Sus scrofa: one gene and its partner. The protein of the gene in region 2 interacts with the protein of the main gene of each other region in a biochemical or structural test. Links are inferred from orthologs where the notes say so. Each region holds a gene or a part of one and is shown on either strand. Other genes may lie near its edges.

Evidence for each region. The genes of interacting proteins can lie anywhere in the genome.
Region 1: the proteins of HTT (region 2) and HAP1 form a complex in vitro, tested with the Homo sapiens proteins (4 studies listed by BioGRID). The link is inferred for Sus scrofa from reciprocal best matches to the Homo sapiens genes HTT and HAP1.

What each region holds. Positions count from the first base shown.
Region 1 is NC_010454.4:20,939,747-20,945,879, reverse strand, and holds part of HAP1 (huntingtin-associated protein 1), read right to left. Parts: coding exon 5,841-6,133; intron 5,455-5,840; exon of another isoform or gene 5,341-5,454; coding exon of another isoform or gene 5,217-5,340; intron 4,845-5,216; coding exon 4,765-4,844; intron 4,371-4,764; coding exon 4,254-4,370; intron 4,128-4,253; coding exon 3,967-4,127; intron 3,774-3,966; coding exon 3,671-3,773; intron 3,593-3,670; coding exon 3,526-3,592; intron 1,242-3,525; coding exon 1,111-1,241; intron 486-1,110; coding exon 411-485; intron 113-410; coding exon 1-112. UniProt on the Homo sapiens protein: Originally identified as neuronal protein that specifically associates with HTT/huntingtin and the binding is enhanced by an expanded polyglutamine repeat within HTT possibly affecting HAP1 interaction properties.
Region 2 is NC_010450.4:1,902,461-1,908,593, forward strand, and holds part of HTT (huntingtin), read left to right. Parts: intron 1-742; coding exon 743-884; intron 885-2,411; coding exon 2,412-2,591; intron 2,592-2,710; coding exon 2,711-2,887; intron 2,888-3,148; coding exon 3,149-3,225; intron 3,226-4,404; coding exon 4,405-4,543; intron 4,544-5,434; coding exon 5,435-5,557; intron 5,558-6,133.

The DNA of each region.
Region 1 (6,133 bases), on a different chromosome or scaffold from region 2:
GGGTGACAGAGCCAGTGGACACGGGGGCTTGCTGGCGGAGTGTCCTCACCTCGTCCTGGGCCTCAATCAGCATGCCCCCACACTCTGAGTACTTCTCCCGAAGGTCCTGCAGCTGGGAACCGGCCCACAAGCTCTGCCCACTCTCTCCCCGGGGACTGGGGAGCCTGGGCCAAGAGGCAAGAGGCCCAGGCTCCAGACCCACCTAATGACACACAGGGGGACCCCACTCCACTCAGACTCTGATGAACTGCCACCTTCCAGGCCCTGTGCCAGAGACTGAGGGTACAGAAAGGACAGACCCCGTCGCTGCTGCAAAGAGCTTGTCCTCTCAGGAGTCAGGCGGCAGCCCAAGGGTCCCAGGTTCCCCGCCCCCGCCGGACTCTGAGCTGGGAACTCAGGGGAAGGCTCACCTCGTCCTGGAGCTGCATCTGGATTTCTTTCTCGGAAGCCAGCTGCTGCTGCAACTTCTCAGTCTCCACCCCATACTGGAAGGACCAAGACCAGTGAACCCCCACCCAGGCCTCCCACTCCCGGGCCCCGCCCCCCACTTCTGGCACGTCTCCCAGTGAGTCTTTGGCAGCTCTTTTTTTGGTTTAGGGCTGCACCTGCGGCATATGGAGGTTCCCAGGCTAGGGGTCGAACCAGAGCTACCGCTGCTGGCCTATGCCATGGCCACAGCAATGCAGGATCCGAGCCACATCTGCAACCTACACCACAGCTCACAGCAACACTGGATCCTGAATCCACTGAGCGAGGCCAGGGATTGAACCCATCTCCTCATGGATACTAGTCGGGTTCGTTACCACTGAGCCATGACGGGAACTCCTCTCTGGCCGCTCTTTAAAAAAAGAAGTCCCGCGGAATAAAGCCAAAGAAGGTGAGGGAGTCATGTGACCTGGTTCCTGGACCATCCCGTGTCCCTCTTTGGGCTCGGTCCCTGACTTGGGACGAGGGGACAGGACAAGGAGCTCTCTGAGGTCTCCTCCAACTCTGACACTGACCCAGAGAGGGGCCTTGGGCCTCTGAGCTGAGAGCGCCATGGGGTGGGGGCAGGGGGAAGGGGGCATGGCCCTGGCAAGAGGAGGGAGCCCCACACAAGCCCCAACGCACCGACCGGCAGCACTGCTGCAGCTTCACCACCTGGGCCCGCAGCTGGGCGACCTCCCTCTGCTGCTGCTCAAAGTTCTCCATCCGGAGCGCCAGCACCTCCGACAGCTCGGCCATCTGCTGGCTGGCCTCCGCTGGGGGGGAGGGCGGAGGTCAGCCCTGGCCCCCCAGGCCCTCAGCCTCCCAGACACCTCCATCGCCAGTGCCCCTCAGCTCCTGCCGAGTACCCAAGGTTCCGCAGAGCTTAGCATCCCTCACTCGAGTCTTCCTTCTTTTTCTTTTCTTTTTTTTTTTTTTTTTTTTTTTTGTCTTTTGTCTTTTTAGGGCCACACGCTCAGCATACGGATGCTCCCAGGCTGGGGTCAAATCAGAGCTACAGCTGCCGGCCTACACCACAGCCATACCCGATCCAAGCCATGTCGGCAACCTACAGATCCTTCACCCACCGAGCAAGGCCAGGGATCAAACTCGCATCCTCATGGATACTAGTCGGGTTCATTAACCACTGAGCCATGACGGGAACTCTGGGTCTTCAGTTTCAGTACACATTTCTGACTGACATAGGGTAAGCGAGTCAGCAAGACCAGCCCCAGCCCTCACTGAGCTCCAGACTCATGAGGAGACTCAGGGAAAAAGAATCACAGTCGTGCATATCACGGGCTGGGATGCAGCATGGCTAACGGGTGCAGCGGGGGCATTGATGCAGCAGCCAGGCTAGCCTGGCACAATCTGAGAAGCTAAGACTGCCACAGGGCAAATGGGGCTCACCAGGCAGAAGGGAAGGCAGGGTGTGGAGAGACCCAGAGGCAATTATGGGACATCAGGAGAGGGTGGCGGGGCAGTAGACAGGTTAGGGAGGCTGGGGCTTATTATGTGGACAGTGGGAAGTTTTTGAGGTGTTTAGGCAGGGGAGTGACATAAACAGATTTTTTTTTTTAGGGCCGCACTCGCAGCTTATGGAAGTTCCCAAGCTAGGGATTAAATTGGAGCTACAGCCACCGACCTACACCATAGCCGCAGCAACACCAGATCCAAGCCGAGTCTGCAAGCTACACCACAGCTCACAGCAAGGCCGGATCCCCAACCCACTGAGCAAGGCCAGAGATGAAACCCACATTCTCACGCATACTAGTTGGATTTCTTTCTGCTGCACCACGATGGGAATTCCCTGTTGTTTTTTTAAGACCCCACCTGAGGCATATGGAAGTTTCCAGGCTAAGGGTTGACTTTTTTTTTTTTTTTTTTTTTTTTTTTTGCTATTTCTTTGGGCCGCTCCTGCGGCATATGGAGGTTCCCAGGCTAGGGGTCGAATCCGAGCTGTAGCCACTGGCCTACGCCAGAGCCACAGCAACGCGGTATCCGAGCCTCGTCTGCAAACTACACCACAGCTCACGGCAACGCCGGATCGTTAACCCACTGAGCAAGGGCAGGGACCGAACCCGCAACCTCATGGTTCCTAGTCGGATTCGTTAACCACTGCGCCACGACGGGAACTCCTCCAGGCTAAGGGTTGAATCACAAGCTGCACCTGCAGGCCTATGCCACAGCCACAGCAACACTGAATCCGAACTCCATCCATGACCTACACTGCAGCTTGTGGTAACACCAGATCCTTAACCCACTGATCGAGGCAAGGGATGGAACCTGCATCCTCATGGACACTATGTCAGGTTCTTAACCCCACAGTGGGAACTCCCAGATCTGGTTTTACAAAATCCCTTTGGGCTGTGTGCAGAGGGCCTGGAATGGCAGGAGTGGAGGCAGAGAGAGCAGTTAAGAGGAGGCCTGGGCTAGAGGCAGCTGGGGTGGGCAAGAGGACAGAGACGTGAGCCTATCCTAGGAGGTAGAAGCAACAGAACGTGGGGACTCGCTCCGACTCCAGGGGCCTGGGACCAGGATTGGGGGGAGAGGGGCATTCAAGCAACCAGGGGCAGGGAAGGCAGATTTGGGGTGAGGGGAACAGCATGGGTTCAAGTGTTGCCATCTTGAGTCTGCATCTCCCCAGCTAGACCCCAGCTCCTCGGAGACAAATGCTGTGCCTCACTCATCTTCTTAAATTCCAGGCACAGCCTCTGTCTACTGTGTGACTCTGAACTGTCCCAGGCCCAGTGCCCAGGGTGCCTGGTCTCTAGCAGCCCCTCCCTCTCCCCAAAGAACAAAAGGAGATGGGCTTAGTGGAGCCCCCATGCATCTGTACAAAGCACTTCCTCAGCTGCCCCCCTGGAGAGGTCAGCAGGGCCAAGATCATTCATCCCCTTTCTAAAGATGAAGGTTCAGAAAGGTCAAGGAAATTGGCCAAGGTCACACAGCTAGGGAGTGCCAGAGCTGTGCCTTGAATTCCAAGTCTCCAGACTCATCCTGGGCTCTTCCCTCCATTCCCCAGGACAGCCCCCTATGCCAAGTTACAAGTTCACCTACAAAACTGCTCCACGCAGTCCAGAATGAGCATCTGCTCCTCCTCCTCAAGGTCGTCGAGCTGGGAGGCCTGGAGGGAGCGAGAGAGGAAGTGGCAGGGGAGTCAACACCCCGTGCTCACCAGCGCGCCCTCTTTCCCCATCCTCACCTCCTCTCGCAGCTGCTCGTTCTCCTCCTCCAGCAGCCTCAGCTGCTCCTGCAGGGCTTCCAGCTGCGGGCAGCAGTGCAACTCTGACTCTGCCAGAGGGGTCCTAGAGGAGGGAGCCATGGGAGTCAGGGTGCAAGGGCATGGGGCACCCAGTTCGCAGCCCACCCAGGGCTGCCTGCGGTGGTCGGGTACAAGGTGTCTCCATGGTGAACAAGAAAACCGGGGCTCAGAGAAGGGGTACCCAGATGCACCAGCAGGTCACGCACAGCTCCGAAGCTTTGTAGGAATGATCTCACCTCTGCTCTTCTTCTTCCTCCCCATCTTCCTCCTCCTCTTCTTCCTCTTCTTCTTCCTCCTCCTCTTCACCTTCCTCCTCCTCCTCCTCCTCCTCATCAGAATCCGAGTAAAGCTGGAGAAGGTCATCCCGCAGGCTCACCTGGTGCCTGAGATGTAAAATCTGGCCAGAGGAAGAAGAGCCTGGGGTCGGGGTGCAGACAGGGGCAGGCACAGATCCTGGCACAGTGAGATGGAGGCAGGCCTGAGATACGCCCCCTCCTGGTTCCTCCCCCCGGCGCCCTGGTACCTCCTCCCTGGCCGAGCCCAGCATGGCTTCCAGCTTGCTGTTCTCCTCCGTCAGAACACTGTTCTGTTTCACCAGGGACCGGCCAATGCGAGCTGCAGTGTTCAGGTCCCGTTCTCTCTGCAGAGGGACCCCCATCCATGGGGAAAACCTTCCTGGTTTCTGGGATCTCCCAGACAGGCGAGAGAGGCTAAGGAGTCCTCCGGGGTTAGAGGGGAGCTAGGCAACTAGGGGAAACCCTCTCTGGCCCCTGGTTCTCCAGGGTACTGGACCAGAGCCTGCGATGAACCCGCTGTAGGACCTGATTCAGTTTCCCTCGTGGGAAAAGATGGTCCCAAGCGCTCTTCCAGCCTGGACATCTCACATCTCCCTGTCTTGCCTAAGTGGGACCCCCAGCTTGGCCCTCAGGGAGGTATGGAAGCAGACAGACTCCTCCCTACCCGCCAAGATGGGATTAAAACAGGAGCCTGGGTAAGGCTCTGCCCTGGTCCCGGGTTGAGAAGGGAGCACACACCTCCTCTAGCAAATTCATCATCACTTTGACATCTTCTTGGGTGATCTTCTTGACTGGCAGGGGCTGGTCGGGACACAGTGCTGCAAGAGAAACGGGTCAGAAAACAGGGGGCATACGCCACCCCACAGTACTGTCTCCTGCCCTCAACAGCAAAGATCAGCAATGAGGGAGAAGACCCCTTTCTGCCCCCAATATCCTCTCCACGCCCCCAGTACTCAATACTCCCTTCCCTGCTTCCAGGGCCTTTTTTTTTTTTTTTTTTTTTTCTCGTGGAAGAGGCTGGATGAGGTAGGGAGATTACAGTTCTACAGTCCCTGGAACCTAGGAGAATGGAGGCAGCTAGCGGAAGTACAGCGCCTACTGACTCATCACCCCTAACCCAGAAGGCAGCCCTAGCCAGCTCACTGGAGCCTCATGGGTCATCAAAAACTGGCACAGTCACCCATCCGCACTTGTTGCGTGTAGTGAGGAGGAGACTTCTCCAGCACTGGAGTGGGGGACACCTGAGCCTCTAGACCCAACCCAGAGATCTCCAGCGACCCAAGAGAGGGTGGGAGGGCAGAGGAGAGGCAGCATCTGTCTGAGGCTCCGCCCACCTCTCGACCCCTACGATTGGTCGAGGTGGAAGCGCGATCTTGACCCCGGCAGCCAAGAGGTTGGCAAATACCCCCTCTGCCCACCCACCTCCCGTTCGCTGGCGCGGCAGACAAGCGCAGGCTCAGGGCGCACCGGGCAGCGCCCTCCCGCAGCCCCCCGCCCCTCTCCTGGCACTGCGGTAGCCCGGGAAGGGGGCCACTGAGAGTGCGCAGAACTACCACAGCAACAGGCGCGAAGAGGTGGGAGGGGAGCGTTCGAGTCCCGGGACCCAACCCACAGACAGGAAATCAGGGAACGAGAGAAGGGGAGAGGAGAAGAGGAAGAGGCGACCGGAGAGGCACCGCAGAATGTGACATCTCCAGGGTGGCTGGAGAGGTGGGACTGAGCACCAGAGGGGATGGGGCGCCTGGACCGGAAGAGGCCCCCCTCCTCCCTGCTGCTGTCCCACCCGCTCTGAGGACCCGGGGACCCTAGTTTACCTTCCTCTAACTCTCGAATAAAGGCGGTGCGCTCGGGGCCAGACACCTCAGGCCGCCGGCTGATGCAGGCAGCTGGCGTCTTCCAGATGCCCGCCGCCTTTCCAGTCCCCAAGCCACTGGCTTGGGAACCAAAAGGTCCTCGGAATATAAAGCGAGTCCACGGCACGTCCGAGTTGTCGAGCACGGACTGTGCATTCCCCTGGTCGACGGAGAATGCAGACGTGCGCTGGGCTCCTGCCTTGGATCCAGACTCGGAGGCCCGGCGAGCGCCTTCCGGGGGTCCTGAGACGCAA
Region 2 (6,133 bases):
AAACAGGGTTGCCATTTTCGCAGTCGCTTGGGTGTGTTTAGGGTTGTAACTATTCGTTGGTGATTGAAGCGTAAATTACCGAAGTACAGAGGTTTTCTCGTGGCCCTTGACAGCTTTCAGGGCCAGCTGAAGCTGGGAATTCCAGAAGCCACAGCCGTGCCGTCAGACACAGCCAGTGAGAGCTCTCCAGTGAGAGTGCCGGTTGAATGTGCGGCTTTATGGTGGATTTTGCCTTTCAGTCAAGCATTTCAGTCTTCTGCCTGTTAAATCCTCTGTGTCTGTCTTTCTTTTCTTTTTTTTTTTTGTCTTTTTTCTTTTTAGGGCCACATATGGAGGTTCCCAGGCTAGGGATCCAATTGGAGTTACAGCTACTGGCCTACACCACAGCCACAGCAACGTGGGATCTGAGCCTCGTCTGTGACCTGCACCACAGCTCACAGCAGCACTGGATCCTCAACCCCCTGAGTGAGGCCAGGGATTGAACCCGCACCCTCATGGTTCCTAGCTGGATTTGTTTCCGCTGTGCCATGATGGGAACTCCTAAATCCCCTGTTTCCATGTGCGCTTTATCGTGGCTCAGAACTAGATACCTGCGAGTGTATGGTGCCCGCACTCGTTCTCGTGGGCGGTATTTAAAGTGTCTGCTTTGGAACTGGGCCTGAGCAGTAACCATCTCCAGGGTTTGAAAAGAAGCCAGCTGCCGTCTCAGGAATGCTTTCAGAGCTTCCCTTGCTCCTTCTAGAAGACGCAGTCTGTCCAGCACCAAGTCGCTTGGTCCCCAGATGTCTGGAGAAGACGAGGACTCCGACGCGGCTTCCAGACTGGGAATGTGCAGTAGAGAAATCGTACGAAGAGGGGCCCTGATTCTCTTCTGTGATTACGTCGTAAGTTTGAAAGTGTGAGTGGTGGCGGCTTGAGGGCTGGGCCGCGGCCCATGTAGATGATGCTTCTAGAGACTGACCTGCACCGTCCCCTCCTTCAGAAGGGGAAACTGCAGTTAAAGCCGACTCCTGCTCTGATGCAGAAGCAGAAGCCAGGCGGGGTGTGCATGCTGGGGGTCGAGGCCTGTCCGCAGAAACTTCAGGCGGCTGTCCAGTGATTGCCCGCGTCCTGCCAGGTGCTGGGCACGCTTGCTGTCTCAGGGAAGCAGTAGCATAACAGTAATAACACAAAGAAGCCACACGTTTGGCTGAGTGGGGTTCTGATTTAAAAGTCTGTGGAAAAGGTATTTGATGTTAATTGTGTTTTAAAATAGATTCCTATTCAAATGCCATTCTTTTTTTTTGGTCTTTTTGCCATTTCTTGGGCCGCTCCCGTGGCATATGGAGGTTCCCAGGCTAGGGGTCAAATTGGAGCTGTAGCCACGGGCCTACGCCAGAGCCACAGCAACATGGGATCCAAGCCTCGTCTGCAACCTACACCACAGCTCACGGCAACACCGGATCCTTAACCCACTGAGTGAGGCCAGGGATCGAACCTGCAACCTCATGGTTCCTAGTCGGATTCGTTAACCACTGTGCCACGACGGGAACTCCTCAAATGCCATTCTTTTTTTTTAAAAAAATAAAACCTTTTGCGGAGCTTTTGACCATAAAACCAGCATCTCTTGTTTAACACAGAAAGTGTAAACCCACTAAGTCCACAAGAGGTGGAATCTAATTGTGTTACTCAGAGAGAGCCAGCCCACCATTTACCCTGTGGGGGGGACTCAGTGCTTTCTCCAGACTGCCGGGGACGCTGCCACCCCTTGGTGCAGACACGGGGCTGGGTTCGCCGCTGTCACGCCGCAGCGCGTCCAAGCAGTACACGTCGCCTGAGCTGCTTGTTGGGACAAAGATCTTGTTGCTCTGATAGCAGTTTATTGATACTCAACATTTCGCTTTACATGCTTGATGGGGACATGGTTTTCTGGTCTCATTCCACTTTTGAGAAACAATTTGATGTAATTAAATAATGCTGTTTCCACAGAAAAGCAAGAAAGTATTGACTTTACAAAAGTTAATCCTATCCAGTTATCCCATATGGAAAGGGTTGATCATTAACCAGAAAATTGGTCTCATTTTCCAGTTTCTGCCTAGGGTTATGTGTTGTGATGAAAAGGCAACCTGTGTAATTTTAAGTCTGTGTTTCTCAGCTCCTTACAAATCTGACGTGAGCCCCTGTCCCTGTTGCTGTGCCGCAGGGTCACACTTCCCAGGGGCCCGACTGAGCCACCTCGGCTGCAGAGCGCGGTTGGGGTGGGGGCCCTGTGAGGTCTGCTTCCACCTTGTGGGTTGTCGGAGCACAACCGCTAGGTATTTGCCGGGAGGGCCACCGCCTGGGATTTGTTTTGCCCTCCCACCACTTCGGCCTTTGCCCTGTCCCCTCCTCGTCTGCTGGAAAGTGTCTTTCCTTGCTGTCCGTGTCCTCAGTGCCAGAACCTGCATGACTCGGAGCACTTGACCTGGCTCATCGTGAACCACATTCAGGATCTCATCCACCTGTCGCACGAGCCGCCGGTGCAGGACTTCATCAGCGCCGTGCACCGCAACGCCGCAGCCAGCGGCCTTTTCATCCAGGCCATCCAGTCCCGCTGTGAGAACCTCTCCGCCGTAAGTCTCCCTGCTGCCGGCGGTCCTGCGCCTTGAAAGCCGAGGGTTGGCGTCTTTAACCCGCTCGTTTCCAGCCGACAGGTCACCCAGCTCTTGTCGTTTCTTCTCTCAAACCCCAGCCTACCACGCTGAAGAAAACCCTGCAGTGCCTGGAAGGGATCCACCTGAGCCAGTCGGGTGCCGTGCTGACGCTGTACGTGGACAAGCTTCTGCGCACGCCGTTCCGGGTGCTGGCCCGCATGGTCGACACCCTGGCTTGCCGCCGGGTGGAAATGCTTTTGGCCGCAAACTTACAGGTACTGAGAAAACAGGGGCATTGATTTGCATTGAAACGTAGCTGGGCGAGGGGAGCAGCTGTCTGGTTCTCCTCCGCAGCTCGGTCTTCACGCGTCCCCTGAGGGCAGTGGAAGGACCGGCCACTCCCCGTGTGTCAGGGGCCAGCGCTTCCTGGCCTCCTGGTCCGCCCGCGCGTGCGCGCCCTTTGTCTCGTGAAGGGGCACAGGGTACGGGCTCGCCTCTGCACGGCAGACCCTCTGACGTGTTCCTGTCTACTTTAGAGCAGCATGGCCCAGTTGCCCGTGGAGGAACTGACCCGAATCCAGGAATACCTTCAGAGCAGCGGCTTAGCTCAGAGGTAATGCTGGGCCCAGGTGCTGCCTGCTTTGGGATGAGAGCCTGTCACTTGTGAGGGAGCAGCCATAGGACGAGAGAGCCGTGTGCCGTGTGGACCGGCTCCTGCAGAAGGGCCCCAGGGAGCCTTCCCAAGTGACAGGCTTGGATCTCCCTGCACAGAAAGTGAAGAAGAGCTGGTAGGGTCACCTCCGTGGCGTTGGCACAGCCATGCTCGCACCCTGGGCTCTTTGAGCGTGAGGGGTCTTCTCGTGGTCTCTGTTCACTGTCCATGATGAGTGGGAGTTTTCAGCTTTATTTTAGCAAACTCAGAGCCTGTGATCTGATCACTAAGTAAGACGTGGCAGAGCTGAAAGGCGTTGGTTCCCCAGTGCTCGGCGTGCAGGAGTTATAGCGGCCTCTTTTTAAAATCTTACCTCGTCATCGCTATTTATCACCGGACTTTGTTTGCAAAGTCTCGTAGAGGCCTTTGTCAGAGGTCCTGACATGCATTACACGAGTGTATTTCCCTGAAGGCAACAGAAGTTTAGTTTTTACCTTCTTTTCCTCGACAGTGGGGAAAACGTGTGTGTGAGTCCAGTTTTTATGCTGTGACTCCATCTTCACAGTAGCCCGTGTTGGCTTCTTCAGTTGAGAAGGGCCGGGACGCGGTGGGCAGTGCGTGGTTTCCCGGGACCTGTGGGCACGCTGGGCGAGCTCTGTTGAGATTGGTACTGTGAGGCTGCCGTTCTCATACCGGATGGCGGGCGGCCAGACTGTTCTTATTTTTGACCCTGGACTCGGCATTCAGCCCAGAGGAGGAAGATTAAAGTAGTATGTGCCAGGCGAGGTGATGCTTTTATGGAATAAATGGAAATTGGCGTAAACCACACTGTTGGGAGATGAAGCGGGAAGTTTTGTGTCCTCGGCTCCTAGATGGTCTCCTTTGTGTTGATCAAGCATTAAGTCACTTTTACTGGCTGTTATGCCAGGTACGAGCTGCTGCAGTGTTGAATTGAAATTCCTGAGACTATTTATGGGACACAGCTGTGGCTTTTACAAGTAAACTGGGGCCGGAATTGGCATCATGACTTGTTTGCGTGCCAATGAGAAATAGGTCTGAACAGAAAGTTTCAGACGTGTCACGTTGGGCCGTAAGAAGCCGCCGCGACGCTTCTCTAACCCACGTGTGATTGGCTTCCAGACACCAAAGGCTCTCCTCCCTGCTGGACAGGCTGCGTCTCGCCACCGCCCCAGGCTCGCGTGGTCCCGCTCCTCGGGTCTCGTCCCACCCGCTGGACGGGGACGGGCCCCTGGCACTGGAGACAGTGAGTCCTGACAAAGTAAGTGCGGCCTGTCCACCTGCGACACACAGGCCCCTCGGGGCGCTGAGCACCTCTGTCTGCCTGCGGCAAAGCCCGAGCCTGCGGCGGGCGGCTCTGGCAGCAGGAGGTCCCGGCGCCGCGCAGCCCCTGCGGCGCTCAGCCTGCCCCGTTTCTTGCTGGCGATGGGCACAGTCACATCAGTGACAGGATCCGTGAGGTCCGGCCCTCGTTGTTAGCAGGGGCTGAGGGTCAGGGCAGTCAGTGGACACGCAGGAGGGGCAGCTGTGGCCTGCGCCCACTTGCCTGTCTCCTCTCCTGCCGACCTCCCTGTGCTGACCCCACCCCGAGGCCCTGGTTCTTACTGTTACCCTCACCATCCACACCGCGGGGCTGGGGGCCCCCTGGGGCCCTGGTGGGACCTTGGCGCTCTACTTTCCCGGGGAGCAGTCAACTGAGAGAACTTGGATCCCAAAACCCAGCAGTTCCCGGCGTAGATGAGCCACCTCTGGCTGCTCTTCTCAGGCCTGATGAATTCAGCACCTTTGCTGCACTGGCCTGGGGATGAGGAACAAAGCGGCCCCAGGAGAAGATGGGCAGCCTGCTGCCCGATAGGGCAGGACAGAGAGGAGGGCCCGCTCCCCTCGGTGCTTTGCTGAGTTTAAAGGCGAGTTGAGCATTCCCCCATCAGGCGAGGGGAGGAGAGGGTGTCCGGACGAGTAACAAGTCCAAAGACCCAGCCTTGGTAGCAGTTCTGGTGGCAAAGGCCTGTGTGGCCGTCAGCATGGCCGGAGTCCCATGTGTCCTCGGGTCTGGGCCACAGGCGAAGAAGCAGCACGTGTCCAGTGGACTCAAAACCCCCGGAAAGCCCTGCCCAGTTCCGTTCCGTAACACACCTTGTCTCGTCCCCAGGACTGGTACCTCCGTCTGGTGAAATCCCAGTGCTGGACTCGCTCAGACTCCGCGCTGCTGGAAGGGGCGGAGCTGGTGAGCCGGATCCCACCCGGCGACATGGGCGCCTTCCTGATGAACCCGGTAGGGGCGAGCGACGGGGTGCTGGGGGCCCTCTCCCTCCAGGCGTCCGCCTTTGAGGTGTTCTGTGGTCGCGTGACCTGCCGATGCCACGCACCGCTTAGGTTTGCGCCGTTACCCCAGTCCAGAAAGGACAGGACCCGATTTCAACCACAGTGCAGGCGCAGAGGAGGTCACCTTTTCACGCCCTCGAAGAAGATGGGTTCTCTTGGGTCGCGGTCACTTCTCATTGCTTGTCTCGTGCTCGCGAGAACGGGATTGGAATGCCCTCGCAGTGTGCGGTTGAGCTGGCGCTTTGCCGCTGCTCTGGAAGTTGGTAACCCCCTCCCTGCGTGGAGCGGGGTCCCCCCCACAGGCAGCGAGTCCCCTGGCGGTGCCTTCACCTGGTGTCCTGCAGGCAGGCCGTGCAGAGCAGCCGTGCCTGCACTCAGCCCCCTTTGTGGCCATCCAGCCACAGCCTTAGCAGCTGCCTTCTCAGGCCTCCTGGCACAAGCAGTCCTTAAACCCAGATGCTGAGATGCTGCCATGAAATAGACCAGGTGGGAGTGAGCAGGGCCTGGGGGGCTCGGAGAGTGTTTG